Struthio camelus: one gene and its partner. The protein of the gene in region 1 binds, or shares a complex with, the protein of each later gene. Links are inferred from orthologs where the notes say so. Each region holds a gene or a part of one and is shown on either strand. Other genes may lie near its edges. The genes, in order: F2 and F2RL3.

What was found.
Region 2: the proteins of F2 (region 1) and F2RL3 are in contact, whole or in part, in a crystal structure (PDB 2PV9), measured with the Mus musculus proteins. The link is inferred for Struthio camelus from reciprocal best matches to the Homo sapiens genes F2 and F2RL3. Residues at the interface, in NP_034298.1 of Mus musculus: Glu385, Leu386, Leu387, Cys388, His403, Tyr407, Trp410, Asp411, Arg428, Arg453, Glu454, Asn455, Leu456, Trp501, Gly502, Asn503, Trp508, Thr510, Gln516, Arg538, Ile539, Asp559, Ala560, Cys561, Glu562, Gly563, Asp564, Val585, Ser586, Trp587; in NP_032001.2 of Mus musculus: Asp54, Lys55, Pro56, Asn57, Pro58, Arg59, Gly60, Tyr61, Pro62, Gly63, Lys64, Cys66, Asn68, Asp69, Ser70.

Annotation. Positions count from the first base shown.
Region 1 is NC_090946.1:39,725,241-39,732,714, reverse strand, and holds the start of F2 (prothrombin), read left to right. Parts: upstream 1-4,239; 5' UTR 4,240-4,364; intron 4,365-4,755; 5' UTR 4,756-4,770; coding exon 4,771-4,849; intron 4,850-5,779; coding exon 5,780-5,943; intron 5,944-7,474. UniProt on the Homo sapiens protein: Thrombin, which cleaves bonds after Arg and Lys, converts fibrinogen to fibrin and activates factors V, VII, VIII, XIII, and, in complex with thrombomodulin, protein C. Functions in blood homeostasis, inflammation and wound healing.
Region 2 is NC_090967.1:5,384,731-5,392,165, reverse strand, and holds F2RL3 (proteinase-activated receptor 4), read right to left. Parts: upstream 3,204-7,435; 5' UTR 3,066-3,203; coding exon 2,975-3,065; intron 2,214-2,974; coding exon 1,141-2,213; 3' UTR 22-1,140; downstream 1-21. UniProt on the Homo sapiens protein: Receptor for activated thrombin or trypsin coupled to G proteins that stimulate phosphoinositide hydrolysis. May play a role in platelets activation.

The DNA of each region.
Region 1 (7,474 bases):
ACGTCCAGGTGGGTTGTGAATATCTCCAGGGAAGGAGACTCCACAGCCTCTCTGGGCAACCTGTTCCAAATCCTCAGGGACAGAGCCTCCGGGTGAGAGTGTAGGGTATTCATCTTTTTGTAAATGTACCTAAAGCGTTGCAATTGCTGATCAAACTATGTAACTCACCTCAGGAGCATATTCAGAAACATCCCAGCTTTTGAACGAGCAATCTATATTGGTCGCAGAGCAGACAAAGGCCCAAGAAAATAGGCTAAAGTCAAATCCTCTATATGCTGCTCCCAGGAAGTTGGAAAAAAAGTTACATAAGAAATAAACAGTTGCAAAAAATTTCCTCACTTAAAAAAAACCTCAGTCTATATGGAGCAAAGAATCAAAACTCCCAATTGGGTTGAAAACCATGCCTTTGGGAGCAAAAAAGGTACAAATCTTTATTACTCTATGACAGGAAAACAACATCCTTCACTCATGGCATAAGCGCAGAAAGAAAAAAAAAGATAAAAAGTTGCTTACAGGAAAGGTGAACAGAGACACAAGAGTAAAATGTTTGAGGTGTGGAAGTCAAAGCTCCTGGAGAAGTGATAGCTGATGCACGCTATCCTGCTGCAGAGGCTAATCACAAGAATGTGTGGGGGAAAAAAAACCAATTACTGATTTAAGCTAAAGTTTGTCTTTATTAAGACAAACTTTATTATAGAGAAGACAGAGAAACGAAGGAATGGAAAAAAAGCGTGACTGAGTATATTGAAAGCTCCTATGAAGGAAAAAATTGCATCATTGGGAACAAAGATAACTATTAATAACAATCTTGTGTTAATCTTATCTTCAATAGGTAAAAAAAAAACCTGAGAGTATCCCATTCCAAACTTACAGATACTGAACTATGTAAATTATGGGCTTGCATATGTATGTGGATTTATGAGTACACTTTACACATTTACAAAAGGTGCTATACAATGTGAGGAGAGCTGAATTGCTGGCAAGCTCACATAAACCCTCCTGTGAGAGGCCTAACTATAGGCCCAAGTACAAGGCCTTTGATATCTCTGCTACCTTCTTCACCATGTCACCAGTAACACTAACAAGGGATCGGTAAAACAGTCAACAAATCACAGAAAAGCTATTCACCACCAAGGTTATGATCAATCAAATGTAATCCAAACATGAACCAATTGTACATATATATTTAAAAAAAGGAAAAAAAAAAGTTCTCAGAATATGGACCCTTTCTCCCCTTTGGCAAGGTGGATCAAGCCCTGTCTTTCTGATCAGAGCAAGTCTATGGACTGTTCTTCCGAGTACAGGGTGGTTGAACAGTGGCTCCTCTCCTTATACCAATTGTGTTTTGGCCCACTTTGTGGCTGCGCGCAATGCACCTCCTGCTGATTACAACACCCTGCTGGGAGATGGCCCCCCCCCCCCCCCAACCTGCTCCAGGAGCCCCTGTGAGACCAGCACAGAGGTGGCTGAAATCAGGACAACTGAGCTGGGAGACGGGCATCTGCGGGGCCAACTACTCACAGGAGGGTTGCGGTTCTGCTGGGTAGGCAGCGTATTAACCACATTGACCCCATTGCAGCAGGTCAACACGCTCCAAGGGGAAAAAAAAAAAAAAAAGATCAGAGCCTGAAGTCTACCCAAAAGCACCGGCCAGATGGAAAGGCCTCACAAAAGTGTTAAAATTAAGAAAAAAAAAAAAACCAAACAAACACGTTAATGCTGGATCTGAAGTACTGCGCCAGAAGTTACAGCAGCCAAATGAATTAATGCGTCAGACTACAGGCTCCATACGCAAAGTAAGTATTACCTGTAGAACGGATGCCCAGGAACACCTCCGTCTTCCTCTACGCGCCCGACCGGCTGTCACAACGCACGCTGAAAAACGTCAACGCGCGCAAGGGGACTTGGCAACACCGGCAAGCCCTTCTTCATTGGACGGCATGGGAACGACATCCACGCACCAATTAACAACTGAAAAGCAGCCTGACCTCGTAGCAATACAAGCCTTACATCAGAATCAACACATCATCCAGCCAGCCCACAAGGCAAGTAGCTGGCGCCGCTGCTGCCCAACGGTGCGACATCAGCGGCAGTTTTAGCTCCAATACTACTGCTATTCTACACCCCTTCTCGTGCCCAACGTTAGTTCCACTTGCTGCTACCCTTGTATTATTAATTGCAGCAATTGTGTCATAGATAAGAAGCTTTCCAGCAACCAGAAAGCTTACCGATGTAACCTGCAAACTACAAAATCTTCAGGAAAGGGCAACTGTGCGAGTGCATCACGGGGTGGAGCGTAGCGGGACCAGCCGGAAGACCATTGTGCACCAAGGAGTTAGAGATCCACGGAGCAGCTGACCTGAGGAGGCGCAGGCCTGTGCTGTGCTGCGCTGCACATATCACTTGGCCGCAGGATAAGCTTGGCTGGCTAATTAGAACAGAGGACTCTGCAAGCAGCTCCCGCTTGGTGCCTGGCGATGATGCCATCGACACGTTCTTGCCTCTGTCTAAAAGTGAAGCAGCATGTTTTCATGTGAACGTCCTTTTGCTCGACAGTAGAAATGACGAACAGAGCTGTTTACGTCTAAGAACATCCTACAAGAGCTTGGAAAACCCACAATGCCGGTGAACCTCACCGTGGATGGGATCTGTGCAGTGTGTCACACACTGACTAAAGATCCATCCGATGCTACACAACTTGGGTTTCCCACTATCTAGAGAGACATAAGATCATCTACGCTATCCCCTTCCTACTTCTTGTGTCAGCTACAATAAACGTTGTTCTAATCAATACTTTACGGGGTCTGAGTGCCTTTCTTAATGGGATCTATAACGAACACTTGCACCGGTGCATTACACCTCCATAAAATATGGCAGCATCTGTCTCTCTCATCACTGCTATAGGGGGTGGTGGTGGTGTCAGTCTTCCTGTGATGATATTTCTGTGCCCTGCATTCACATCCATATGGACTTGCTCAGGCATGACCAGCAGTCCTGAGGTCATGTGTCCAACCTGCAGCATGAGCCAAAAATCAAATCATCACATAGAAAACACATAGGTGTGTCCTTGCTGCTATCCTCTGCTCCCCAGGCAGCTGAGCCTGCCAGCGGGGCCTCCAGAAGTGTGGAGCCGTTTGCACCTCCCCTCACAGAGAGAAGCAGTCGTGACTGCTACGTGAGACATGAGACAGCAGCAGCCCTGATTTCATCACTGTTCAGAAAACTGTTTGTTCAGCGATGCTTCCTTCCTGCCCCAGCCTCATAGCGGCCCCTGCCTGTGTAACCCTCCTTCCATAGCGCTGCTTCCCTCATGCAAAGTAAAACAGGGTGTTTCTAGGCTTGTGGCTAATCCTGCGCACACCTGCTCCTCCACCTAGGTCATCTCAGCCATTCCTAAAAACATCTCTCCAAAGTCCGGGTGAGGAAGTATGAAAACAGGGAACGGTCTTAAACACGGGAGAGAGTCTGTGCAACTGCTCTTTGTACCAGTGGCCAGAGAGTCATTCCTCAGCTACCCTAATGCTAATATTTGCACATCTACTATGGAGATAAACATTACGGATATGTCTGCTGCACGGAGGCACAGCACAAAACATGCTCCCTGCTGGCAGAAAGCACTTTTGTGCCATGTGGCAGTTCCTGGGACTACCCTCACCTTGCCCTGCTTTCCGCTGTTTTCTCACAGTGAGAGAACAGTGCCATTTTTTGCTTGTTGTAGGAATCACTAGAGCTTTCTCAGGTCAAGTAGCCCAGTTCGTGGCTTATTCATTAGCTGATGTCATGACACTCAAGATAGTCCTGCCTCCCTATTCCTGGAAGCCCTTGTTTTCCTGGCTGTTTCGGGCTTGCATGTTCCTTGCTTGGCAGAGCTTCTGTTTCCTTTTGGATTTATTTTAGTATGTTCCACTGGTGTGGGAATAAAAGGGGGGACCCAAACTTCACTGCCTCACCCTCCTCCTGGGAATCTTAATGCAGTGGGAAGTATGCAATGAAAATGGCCTTGCTGACCTAACTGGGAAGAACATTTAAATTCCACAAGGACTGTAGCAGGCACTCCTGCTCCTTGGCATGGGTGAGGGAGAACAAGGGGGAGACAAGCTGGCTCTTTCACGCTGCTCTAGTGCCAAAATAGCTGCGGCTGAGCTTGCTGATAACTGCAGGGAGAAAAGACAACAGGACTCCGAAGGGTGGGCTTGTAGCTAAAAAGAGGACTGGGATTGGCTAAGCTCTCCAAGTCTTGCTGCGCCTGAGGCTACTAAAGAGCCCAGACTGTGAGGAGACTCAGCTGCAGGGAACCAAGCCAGGGTGGTGGGGAGGCTGCAATCCTGCCAAGAGCCAGAGGATGAGCAGAGTGAGCTGCTCTGGTAAGGGTGGCTGTGAGCTGGTAGAGACCTCTCCAACCCAAATTCTCCCGATACCCTGGGACAAGCTCATCATCTTGCTCCTCATGTCCTCTTCCCTGCTATGAAACGGGATACTAACTCTACTCCTGTTGCAGGGGGTGGGGGGAGGGGGAGACCAGCACACATCCAGAGATGTTTTGTGTTATGGTGTGGTTTCTGCCAATGAAGTATGAAAAGGAAGATACCCTGAAGGGAAGGAAAAAAGCCAAAAGAGGAGGGATAAGAGGAGCCTCAGCCCCACTGTCCCTGACACACCACGACCTCTGGAGTCCTGTTTCTTCATTCTGGTTCAATATTAACCCAGCAGGGCTGTGACTCCGCTTATTCTGTTCCCCTTGCGTTTCCCCTGCAGCCAGGGCTGTACAGCATGGCGCACAGCAAAACCAGCATACTGAGGGGCCTGCTCTTTTCCAGCCTTCTGCACCTCACATTGAGCCATGACGGAGGTAAGAGCCAAGGGCCCAGGGAGGAGGGCAGTACCAATGGGTGATGGAAGGAAGCAAAAATGTGGTTATTTCTTCTCAAGGGTAAAGCCCGTGGGAGATTCTCTAGGTAAGGCAGGGGGAGTTTCTAAAAGCTTTAAGTTGGGAATTAAAGGGTGCAGACAGTGGTGTGAGCACAGGGCTTTCCTGAGGAGGATGCAGCAGCTTCCAGCTGCGGGCAGGAAAGCCTAGTGACAATAGCTCAGTTGATTGTGTGGGCCACAGGGGAGATGGCAGGGAAGGGGAACGTAGCTAGGTCCAGGATCTTGCATGGCTCAACTATGGGCCTGTTTGGGCTAGTTAAGTCAGTTGACTTGGGTCGCTGCAATTCTCCATTTCCTCCTCTGTCCACCCTTATCTCCACTTCTGGTCATCTGCAATACACAGCTGTCCTACACTCACTGCTCCTTATCTTTTATTACAGTCTCTTCTCCCTCTATCTTTTCTTAATCTAAGCCCACTACTGTGTGTGGGAAGACCTGTTTACAGGGCTGAGATTAGGGTCTCTGAACATGAAGACAGAACCAAATTGCACCTTATCGCAGCAGTTTGAGGTCAGCAAGACAGAACATAGCAGTTGGCACAGACCAATAGCAAGCTCAGGCAAACAACCTTCTCCCTAATGGCAAACGAGCAGAGCTGCCCTGCCAAGGATAATGGAAGATTCCCCTCACTTCTGAGGGGAATCTACGTGATGACAACCCTCACAGCTTATAGAGACTGCACTGATCATCAGGTGTGGACATGGGGGGTTGCTGCATGGTGGAATGGGGGTGGGGCTGGGCTATGGGACCAACACACTAGCTGAGTGCGATTTTTGGAAACAATAAGGGGAGACAAAGAGGCCCTCTCACTGCAAGCATCCCATTGACTGGCCCTGTTCTGACTTGGTAGTTTTCCTGGACAAGAGGCAGGCACTGTCACTGTTCAAGCGCCCACGACGTGCCAACAAGGGATTTCTAGAAGAGATGCTTAAAGGCAACCTGGAGCGAGAGTGCCTGGAGGAGATATGTAGTTACGAGGAGGCCTTTGAAGCCCTGGAATCCACTGCTCGCACGGTAGGTACAGGGCACATGGGTGCTCCTAAGAAACATTCCCTCAACCAGCTCCTGTAGCGAGAGACCAGCATGCCACACACACAGCCAGGGACTGGGGGGTTGTAAGACACAGTGCTGAGAGATGAGGCTGATGTGTGCATGTGCCCCTGGGACAGCTTAAACTTCCTTAGGGAAGCTTGGATTCTTTTCCCTCCCTCTTTAGTTTAAGGACAAAGTGAAAATGAAACAGCCTTCCCTCAGCCATCAGTCAAGAACTGCACCTTCCACTTCAGCATAGTGCCACACATCTTCAACTGCCACAGCCCCCAGTGGCCCTCCAGGACACTCACAAAACAGCTGGCTTAGCAACCAAATACTGAGTGCAGGTGCCTCAAGACCCTTTGAGCTTAAGCTTTGGCACTGTCCCTTTTTCTGGCTTCTGGACTCGCTCACTGCAAAATTTCTGTTGGCATCCTTTTAGGAAACGCTCCTAGCCCCAAGATCAGTATTAGTGTTGAATTCCGCGTTCCAGAAAATACAGTGGTAAACAGACGAACGTTTGAGAGTTCAAGCCAGTAAGGTACAAGCTCTACAGAGCATTTCTAATGGAATTGCTCTCAGGCATGAGAGGTCTGACAGACATAGATCTAAAGAGCTGAGCAATACCTGCATACTATCTGTGGCCTCCGTTTCTTCACTACTCTAGAGCGTCCTCTGCCTTTTACCAGCCTTTAGAAGTTCTAGATCCAATTCCTTGGACTTCTGTAGAGTAGTACAGGCTTTGTTTCCTCTGCACATTGATAAGAGAACCACTGCAAGCATCTCTGGTCTCTTGCAGAAATGCCAGGCCTCTCTATCAGTCTGCTTAGTCTCCAATCCATAAAAAGTGATCAAAGTCTCTTCTTAGATGATCTCTGGCTGAATTAACAGCCTAATATGGATAGCAAATATTCCTGCACAGTAACTGATCTTTGGTTGCATTGAGTTTGCATCTCTGCATTTTTTAGGCGCGGTAATTTTCCTTGGCACATCCTGCCTGTTCTAGGTCAATACAGAGGCTACAAAGACCAAGCGCAGGCTCAGGACACATTAACAACCAAAACGTCTTTCATAGAATGGTACAGACTCCTGCAGACATTAGGTTAATCCATCACAGGGACACTGCTATATTGCAGTACTGCCTTTTATCAGTAAAAGGCATAAGGCAAAGCACATTATATGGTGGTGAGATAAAAACATGTACTTTGGGAGATCCAAGGCTGTGAATGGAAAGCAGCTAAGCAGAAGCCGTTATTGCAGCATTCCTCAACAGAGTTGTACCATGTCCACTTACCTAGGGACAGGGGCTTTCAGATGAAGCGGTTTCCAGGCTTCAGACTGTTGGATCTGAGAGGGATCTGATATCCGGATATTGCAGTGGTACAAGAACAGATAACACCTGAAGTTCAGTGGGTTGCCTCCAAAATGCCTGCCTATTTGGGGAAGAGCTGTGACAGACTACTTGATGTCTTAGTCTAATGAGATGGAATATGGCTTTATAGTAGATTTTTGC
Region 2 (7,435 bases), on another chromosome or scaffold:
AAATCTGAGTCCAGAAAAGGGTTTGTTTTAGATTCTGATAAATATTTTATTAAAAACTGATTTTAAAACAATCCTGTTTGCCTCTCTTTATTCATGTTGCAGGCTCTAAGCTAACTAAATCCATAGGTTATGCTGAGGACAGAAGTCATGCCTGTACCAGTAAAACCAAAGAATTCAAGGACTCTCAGGAGGTTTATCACTCATTTTTTACCTTGCTGCTCCCTGGGATGTGCCCTAGCTGCGTCTGAGGGACAAGCTAGCTATAATTTGTGAAACATGCAACACGTTCCTGGACTGAGCAACAAGCTTGGTCACCTGCTTCAGCAGAGAAGGCTTGTGATGTTGCACAAAGGAAACGTGGAGTTCCAGAGTGAGGGTTTCCTGAATTCCTTCTTTAATATTTCCCTTCAAGAGGCATAAAAACCCTTTTTCATTAATACAATCTTTGCCTCAGAGTAATTGTGGGTGCTAAAGGTCATCTTCGAAAATGGAAATGAATGAATGAATGTGATTTTTTACATTCCTTATCAACAATGGGCTGACATTACCATGATGTTAATTACTAGACAAGCCAAGAATGTAATTGCTAGAGAAGCCAGCGTTCCACGCTCCTGGAATAATATTTTAGCTCAGGGGAGTATCTTTCACATAGGCATCTCCTTTTACTTCTGAAATGTTCAGAAATTTGATTTTGCAAGTGTCTGTTCTTTTTCAGCTCAGGTGAAGGGAATATCTGATCAAGGACAGCAAGCAAGGCAATAGCAGAGAAAGGAATAGAACACGCATAGCAACCAGGTTGTAAGATGCATTAAGAAAACCAAACCTAGCTACATTGGCAGGAGTGCCACTGGCAGTACGTGAGCAGATGAGAAGTTGCATACGGTGTCCCCATAACAGATCTGTACGTGTTCAGCACTCCACATTTTCTCTGGACTGCATACCTCACAGGAAAGCCCATGGCCCAAGTTAATTCAGTCTTAGCATACAAACAGAAGAACCTGTCTCTTCCTCACCAGGATTTGTCTCCTAGAAAATATTGCTCTCTGCTCTGGATGAAACTTGTGGAGTCTCAGCGTTGTCTCTGTCTCACCCCACCATCTTTTGTGAGTGCCTTGGGAGTGGGGAGCTGGGATGGAGGCTTCACGCCGGTGAATCTTTGGAACTTTTTGGAGGGAGTGTTTCTTTGGATGTTTTCAAGGATGTGGTGGTTTTTTTGCTGCGATTGAAGAATCTTCTCCTCACCTTATCCCGGAAGTCTTCAGAAATATAGTAGTAGATAAAGGGGTCAGCGCAGCTGTTAAAGGTGCTGATGGCCAGGCTCACCATGTAGCTGATATACAGGTCACCATACAGCTTGGAGCAATAGCTGGAGTAGTGAACAAGGAGGAGAACATTGCTGGGTGTATAGAAGGCTACAAGTGTGAACAGCACGAGAGCAGTGAGCTTCATAGTGTAGGAGTACCGCTTTCCGCTGTCCAGGAGGGCTCGCAATACTGAGCAGTAGCTGAACAGTGTCACCACCAGAGGAGCAAGGAAAGCACAGACAATCAGGCAGACAAAGTAGTAGAAGTAATACTCGTCATCCTCATGCCTGGGGAGAACATCATGGCACAGGGCAATGTCTGCTCCATACAGGGGATACGACTGCTGCTGCAGCGTCAGGGGCAGGGTGAGGATGGCAGCACAGAGCCAGATGGCAGTGCAGATGCAGGCAGCAAAGGCAGGGGTGCGGAAAGAGCGTGAGAAGAAAGGATGCACCACAGCCAGGTACCGGTCAACACTGATACACGTGAGCAGCAGCACTGAACAGTACATGTTCCCATAGAAGAAAGCTGTGGTGAGCCGGCACAGGCCTTCCCCAAAGGGCCAGTTGTTCCCCAGGAAATAGTAGAAAATCTTGAAGGGCAGCACCAGGATAAGCAGCAGGTCTGCTGCAGCCAGGTTCATCAGAAAGACAGTGGAGGTCAGCTTCTCAGCCCTGGTGGCCAGCACCCAGAGGGCCAGCCCGTTGGAAGGCAGCCCCACCAGGAAGACGAGGGTGTAGAGGCAGGGGATGAGCCGCACTGTGACCATGCTTCTCAGCTGGGAGCGGGAGGCCTCGTGGATTATCAGGTACGTGGTGTTGTCTATCATCGCCTTTTCCCCAGGAATGGCTCGGGGACACGGTGTGTTCTCTGATGTTGTTACCTGCTCGGTGCTGTTTTGAGAGTAATCTGTCAAGGCAAACAGTCTTGTTACTTGCTGTTTGGGCAGTTGCCTGGGGACTGGCACTTTGCAGAGCAGGCTGGATGTGTAACACTTACCCCAGCCACTAAGGTTTTGCATTTTATGTTGGGGTCCCTAGAAGTGAGAGAATTTTGTAAACTGTATGAAGGTCAGAAAAAACTGACTGACAGAATCAAGTGTGCAGGGATAAACATCAGTAACCAGCCTGTCCTGACCAAATGATCCGTTCTGAGAGAAGTGAATGCTTCCTGCTCGAGCAGCCTTTTACCTTCTTTTTCAGGCCTGACTTGCTCTGACTGGTGTCTTCTGCAAGCCCGTGCAAACTTACACCGTTCCTCTGTTGTGTGGTTTCCCACAATTCACAAATGATTTTTGTATCATATAATTCTCAGCAGGCCTAGAGAGCTGGAGAGCGCTTCCTCCAGGCAGCTTTCGGAAGAATCCTCAGGTCTGGAGCCCCCCGCCCCAGGGAAAGCTGTGGCTGCAGGAGCCTAACTTTAAGCTGAAGGCTTGGTTTCAAGTGCTCCCTGTTTTACTCCTCCTCTAAGCTGTCCCACCTCAGTTTCTTTCTCTTCTCTTCCATAAGTATCTTCTATCATCTCCTGCTTCAATTAGAGTCTGCACCCATCTCAATTAGAGTGTGCATCCATACGATAACTTCACAAAAATGAATTTTCAGGGACCTTATGAATATACCAAGTATCCAGTACTTTAAGAAGGAATTTTTCACCCAAATACATACACTCACCATCGTAGTCTGAAGAGGCCAAGCAGAGTCCCCAAAAGGCGCAGCACAGCATAAGCCTGTGTGACAGCCGTCTGTTCCTGAGGGTCTCCATGCTGGAGCAGGAACCGGTAACGCACTGCCGTGCTCTGAGCTGCGTGAGGACAGCAGTATTACTGACCCTGCTTACGCATTTCCTTCTATCAGTCCTTAACTGGCGGAAGCACCAGGCTGTCACGACATTCCCAGGGTTTGCATTGTCTAAGCAGATGCTTAGCTCCTGCGTCAGCTGAGGGCCAGGGAGGGGCATATGTATCCAGATCCACAGTATGTCAGAGAGAACCCTTGGTTTAAGTGACTCATTTGAGCCTCCTTCCTCCTCCAGAATATTCCTGGAAATGCCACATGTGGCCGGGTTTGATGCAGCTTGAATTTGGTTTAGCGAATAAACCAAACCCACCGTCCCTGAACACCTCTGATCTGCACCAAGCACCTCGCCACCCACTCTTGGGAGAGATCCAAGTGGCCACATGGGAGATCCAAGGTCTTTCCCCACCACCCTGTTTCAAAAAGTTTCCTGATGACATGACAAGATATCATCCTCTCACAGAAGCATAAAAGAAGTGCAGGGGAGCTTCAGATCCAGACAGACCTCTCCAGCTCCCTGGGATTAGGGTTACACAGGGCTCCTGCAGCCTCACACTGTGGCAGTTAATGGTTCTTAGTTTCCCCTTTGCAGCCCTCAGGTCAGGCTGGGCCTTTCAGTGTTCACCTCTATTTCTCCTCCTGCTCCCTGGTTAGACAGGGGACAGAGCTCCTGCGTCTTCCTTCTTGACCTCACTGCAGAGGTTGATTAAAAGTCCTGACTCTTGAGTTGTTTGCACTGGAGAGAATCGGCACTAGCACCAGCCTGGAGTGCTGTACCAAATGAACGATAACTGTCAAGGTCTCAGGGTTCAACAGAGGGACTGTGCTTCCACTGATAAACTACCAGGAACAGGGAGAGCAGCTCCATCCAGCAGGAAAGGGGCCAGACAAGAGCCCACAGGATGTGTCTGCTGCTGGGCAGATAATGGTGAATTTCAGCCACTCTTGTCCTGAGGAGAGCTGTATTTGTCCAGCGATGTGTAGTCTCCACCCAGTAAACCCCCAAGAGGGTAGAGCACGCCTCCTTGCTAGCTAACACCTTGGAGCAACACCATATCTGTTTGTTGTATGGGGACGACCCATGCAGGGTTGTAAGAAGGGCCCCTTGAACTGGCAGATGTTACCTGAACCTTTAGCATCCTTTGCTGCTTGGATCCCCGTTCCTTAACTCTTTGAGAGTGCAGATCCCTTCCATGCTCTGCCAGCTGCCTGGCACAGCATTGCTGGGGAAATCCCAAATCCTCTCGCAGCACCTCTGTAAATGCCCCGGCATGACCACTTCCCGGCAATCAAGTGGGCAGGCAAGAGGTCATAGCTTGAGAGGCTGCTGGGTTTTAGGCTTTTGCTCTCCAGTCTCCTGCCTGGCTCTGCAAGGGAGTAAACACAGAAGCTGGAGTCCGGGCAGTAGGAACTGTAAATTTGGTTTGGCAACCTGAGCAATAGTTCGTTTCTTTCTGCTCGGCTTATGAATGGCCTCTTCTGTGAAGGTTGCAAATCTGAGCCTGGCTGCTGTTTGATGAGATTCCTCTATTCCAAGGAGAAAATGATTCTATTTCCTTTGCTTTTGCTGTATTCCCACATCCTTGTGCCGAGTGTGTTGAGAGGTGGAGTTCCACTGGCAGGGACAGGGAAGATGCAACGTTAGATGTTTTGCTTTTTGTGATTCTCTCAGGATTTATGAACCATTACAGAATGACTCATGTGGCCACATATTTTCCATGCCTCAGCCAGGATCCTTTCCATGCTCTGTATGCAAAAAATTAGACATAATCAGGTTCAGATAGTGTGCAAATCACAGCCCTGCTTCCTATGGCCAGGTCTCTGGAGTGGAGCAGAGAGAGGTTACTCATTGCTGCAGCCTTCATTTTTCAGATGCTGTGTGATCTTTAGTGACTGCTTTAGATGCAGAACAGCTTGCTTGAAAATTCTAATGCCAGAGGTTTGTCACGGCTTGTTAACATCTCTTTAAGTCGTGTGATCCCTGCCCTGTGGGGTAACAATTTGGTTTTAATGCAATTCATTGTGCAATAGCTCACCCCCTGGGAGAAGGCACTCTTTTATTCCATGGCTCTGAACCCGAAAGATGTAAGGCTGGAAAACAGGTTAGGGAAGGAGGGTGTAAACACCACCAGGCCTGCCCCAAACATACATCTTTAATGCTTGGAAGATCAGCGTTTGGAAGTTAAATAGCCTCTTCCTCGTAGAGCTTGCTATTCCCACCCAGTTCCAGGGGCTCCAGGAAGTTCCTCAGCTGCAAGCCAGTAGGTGTCAAGATAGAAATCTTAGTGCAGCTAACACCTGCCCCAGGCTGAGCTCGCATTCGCGATGCAGACAGGAGAGGCAGCCGGCCATGGTGGCAGAGGCTCTGCCTTACAGCTAGCAGCATAGAGCATTTCCACCAGTGTCAGCACAACCTCACATTTTCCATGAACACAAGGCTGATCCTGCCTTTCCTAGCCACTGAGCGTGCTGGTGTCTGAGCCTTCTCAGAACCACAAGGCATAGGAAGCTTCCACTGACCATTGCTATAAATAGAAATGACGATCTTTTTAAGAAGGACACCCCTCCTCTCCCCCCCCCCCCCCAACCCAGATTTGCCTTTGCCTTGCTAGAGAGGTATTGCAGGCTCTGGCGTGTGCAGGATTATTTCATGCCTTGGCCACTCTTCCTGGCTTCACCATCACACCAACTCCCCCTCCTCTCACTTGGTCGCGTCTCTCATTGTCACCCTGAGATGCTGCACAGTTCTGGGGAATCTCTCTGCCTCTCTCATCATCTGTTTGTCCCACAGGTCTCCTGTTCCTCTGGGATCCCACCCATAACTTTTCACTTCCCAAAGCCCAAACCTTTTGTGTTTGTTTCCTCACCATTTGTAAGCCTTATGCTGGTATAACGCTTCCCGGGAGACAATTTTTTTCAGAATTACTATTCTGCCTGCAATTTCATTTCAGAGTATAGAAAGTCCACATGAAGCCATTATTCAGGAATATTTGAAGTTTTTTAGCATCACTACAGTTCACTAGATGATGTTCTGGAACAGCTTCTTTTGGTCTTAGGAAGATAATGACAGTGGGGGGGGGGGGGGGGGCTACCCTGCGTTACACAGACACCTTCATCCCTTCTCAGCGCTGAGCTTAGGGCGATTCTGTCATCTTGGATTCATCCTTTAGCACAGATATAAGTAGAATTGCTAGACTGAAAAGTTTAGTTTTGATGAGTGGAAGATAGAGGGTATCTCTGGTTTCATTATGGTAAAGCTACTTAGTTCTGCTCCAAAGGAATGGCTGAAGCATGAAGAAAATCTCAACTCATGTTTACACACACATACTTCTAGACAGTCTCACTAGTTTACAGTCCCTCTCTTTCTCTGTGTGCGTCATTGTGAGATGAGGATGTGTAAAAAAAAGTCCCGAGATATGAAATACAGAATTCAGGTACTCCCTTTAGCATTTCTTAATTGAATTTAGAAAACCATTAGTTTTTATTCCATCTAGCAAACTTGAAAGATATTTTTAAGCTGTCCTTTATCATTGCCAAATCTGTCCACTTGCTGAGATCTCCAACTGCTCTTGGGTGATGTCAGATCTGGCTGTCCCTTCACAGGGCCTATTGCCTCCCTTGGAGCCCGGGGGACATTCTCTTTGAGAGAAGTCCAAGATCTCCAAGAGGAGACTTTTGTGCAAAGCATACTGTGTCCTCTGAGACACCACTACCATCATTTTTATCAAATTATTCCATACAATTTATGCATCAGAGGATTGTTATTAGGAGAACAACAGTTTGTTTCCCTGTGAGCAAGTAATACTCTGAACAGAAAGTGGAGTTGCCTTTTGTTATGGCAACGGAAGTGTTGAGAATGATGTAAAGGAAACTCCTATCAGATCTGGGTCACATCACTACAGCTTAATTTGCAAAAACTACACATTTGTTTGTTGTGCAGAGCTCGCAGGAACAGTTAAACATGTTATTACCCAGGAATTTAGGGAGGTTGAGGGAAATGCGGGTGGAGGGTTATTTTCATGGTTGCAGTTGTATTGTCTTAACCTGTAGCAGATGTGCTTATAGATTTCAGAACTGGAATCAGTCACTTTCTTGAATGTCTGTTTTATTTAGCGTGTGAGTACTTGGGGGCTAGGCCTGGACCCTATTTTCACACCTCTCATAGCCAAGGTGCTGCTAGAAATAACCGATATGCAGCAAGATATGCTTTGCTGGCACTACAAAATGTTTTCTTTTGAAACCTATAATCTCCACGTGGAGCAACTATGCCACCTCATGGACTTCCATGCTCTCATTTGATTACAGGCCTTTGCTCCAAGAGAGGTCTTGGTTGCACGC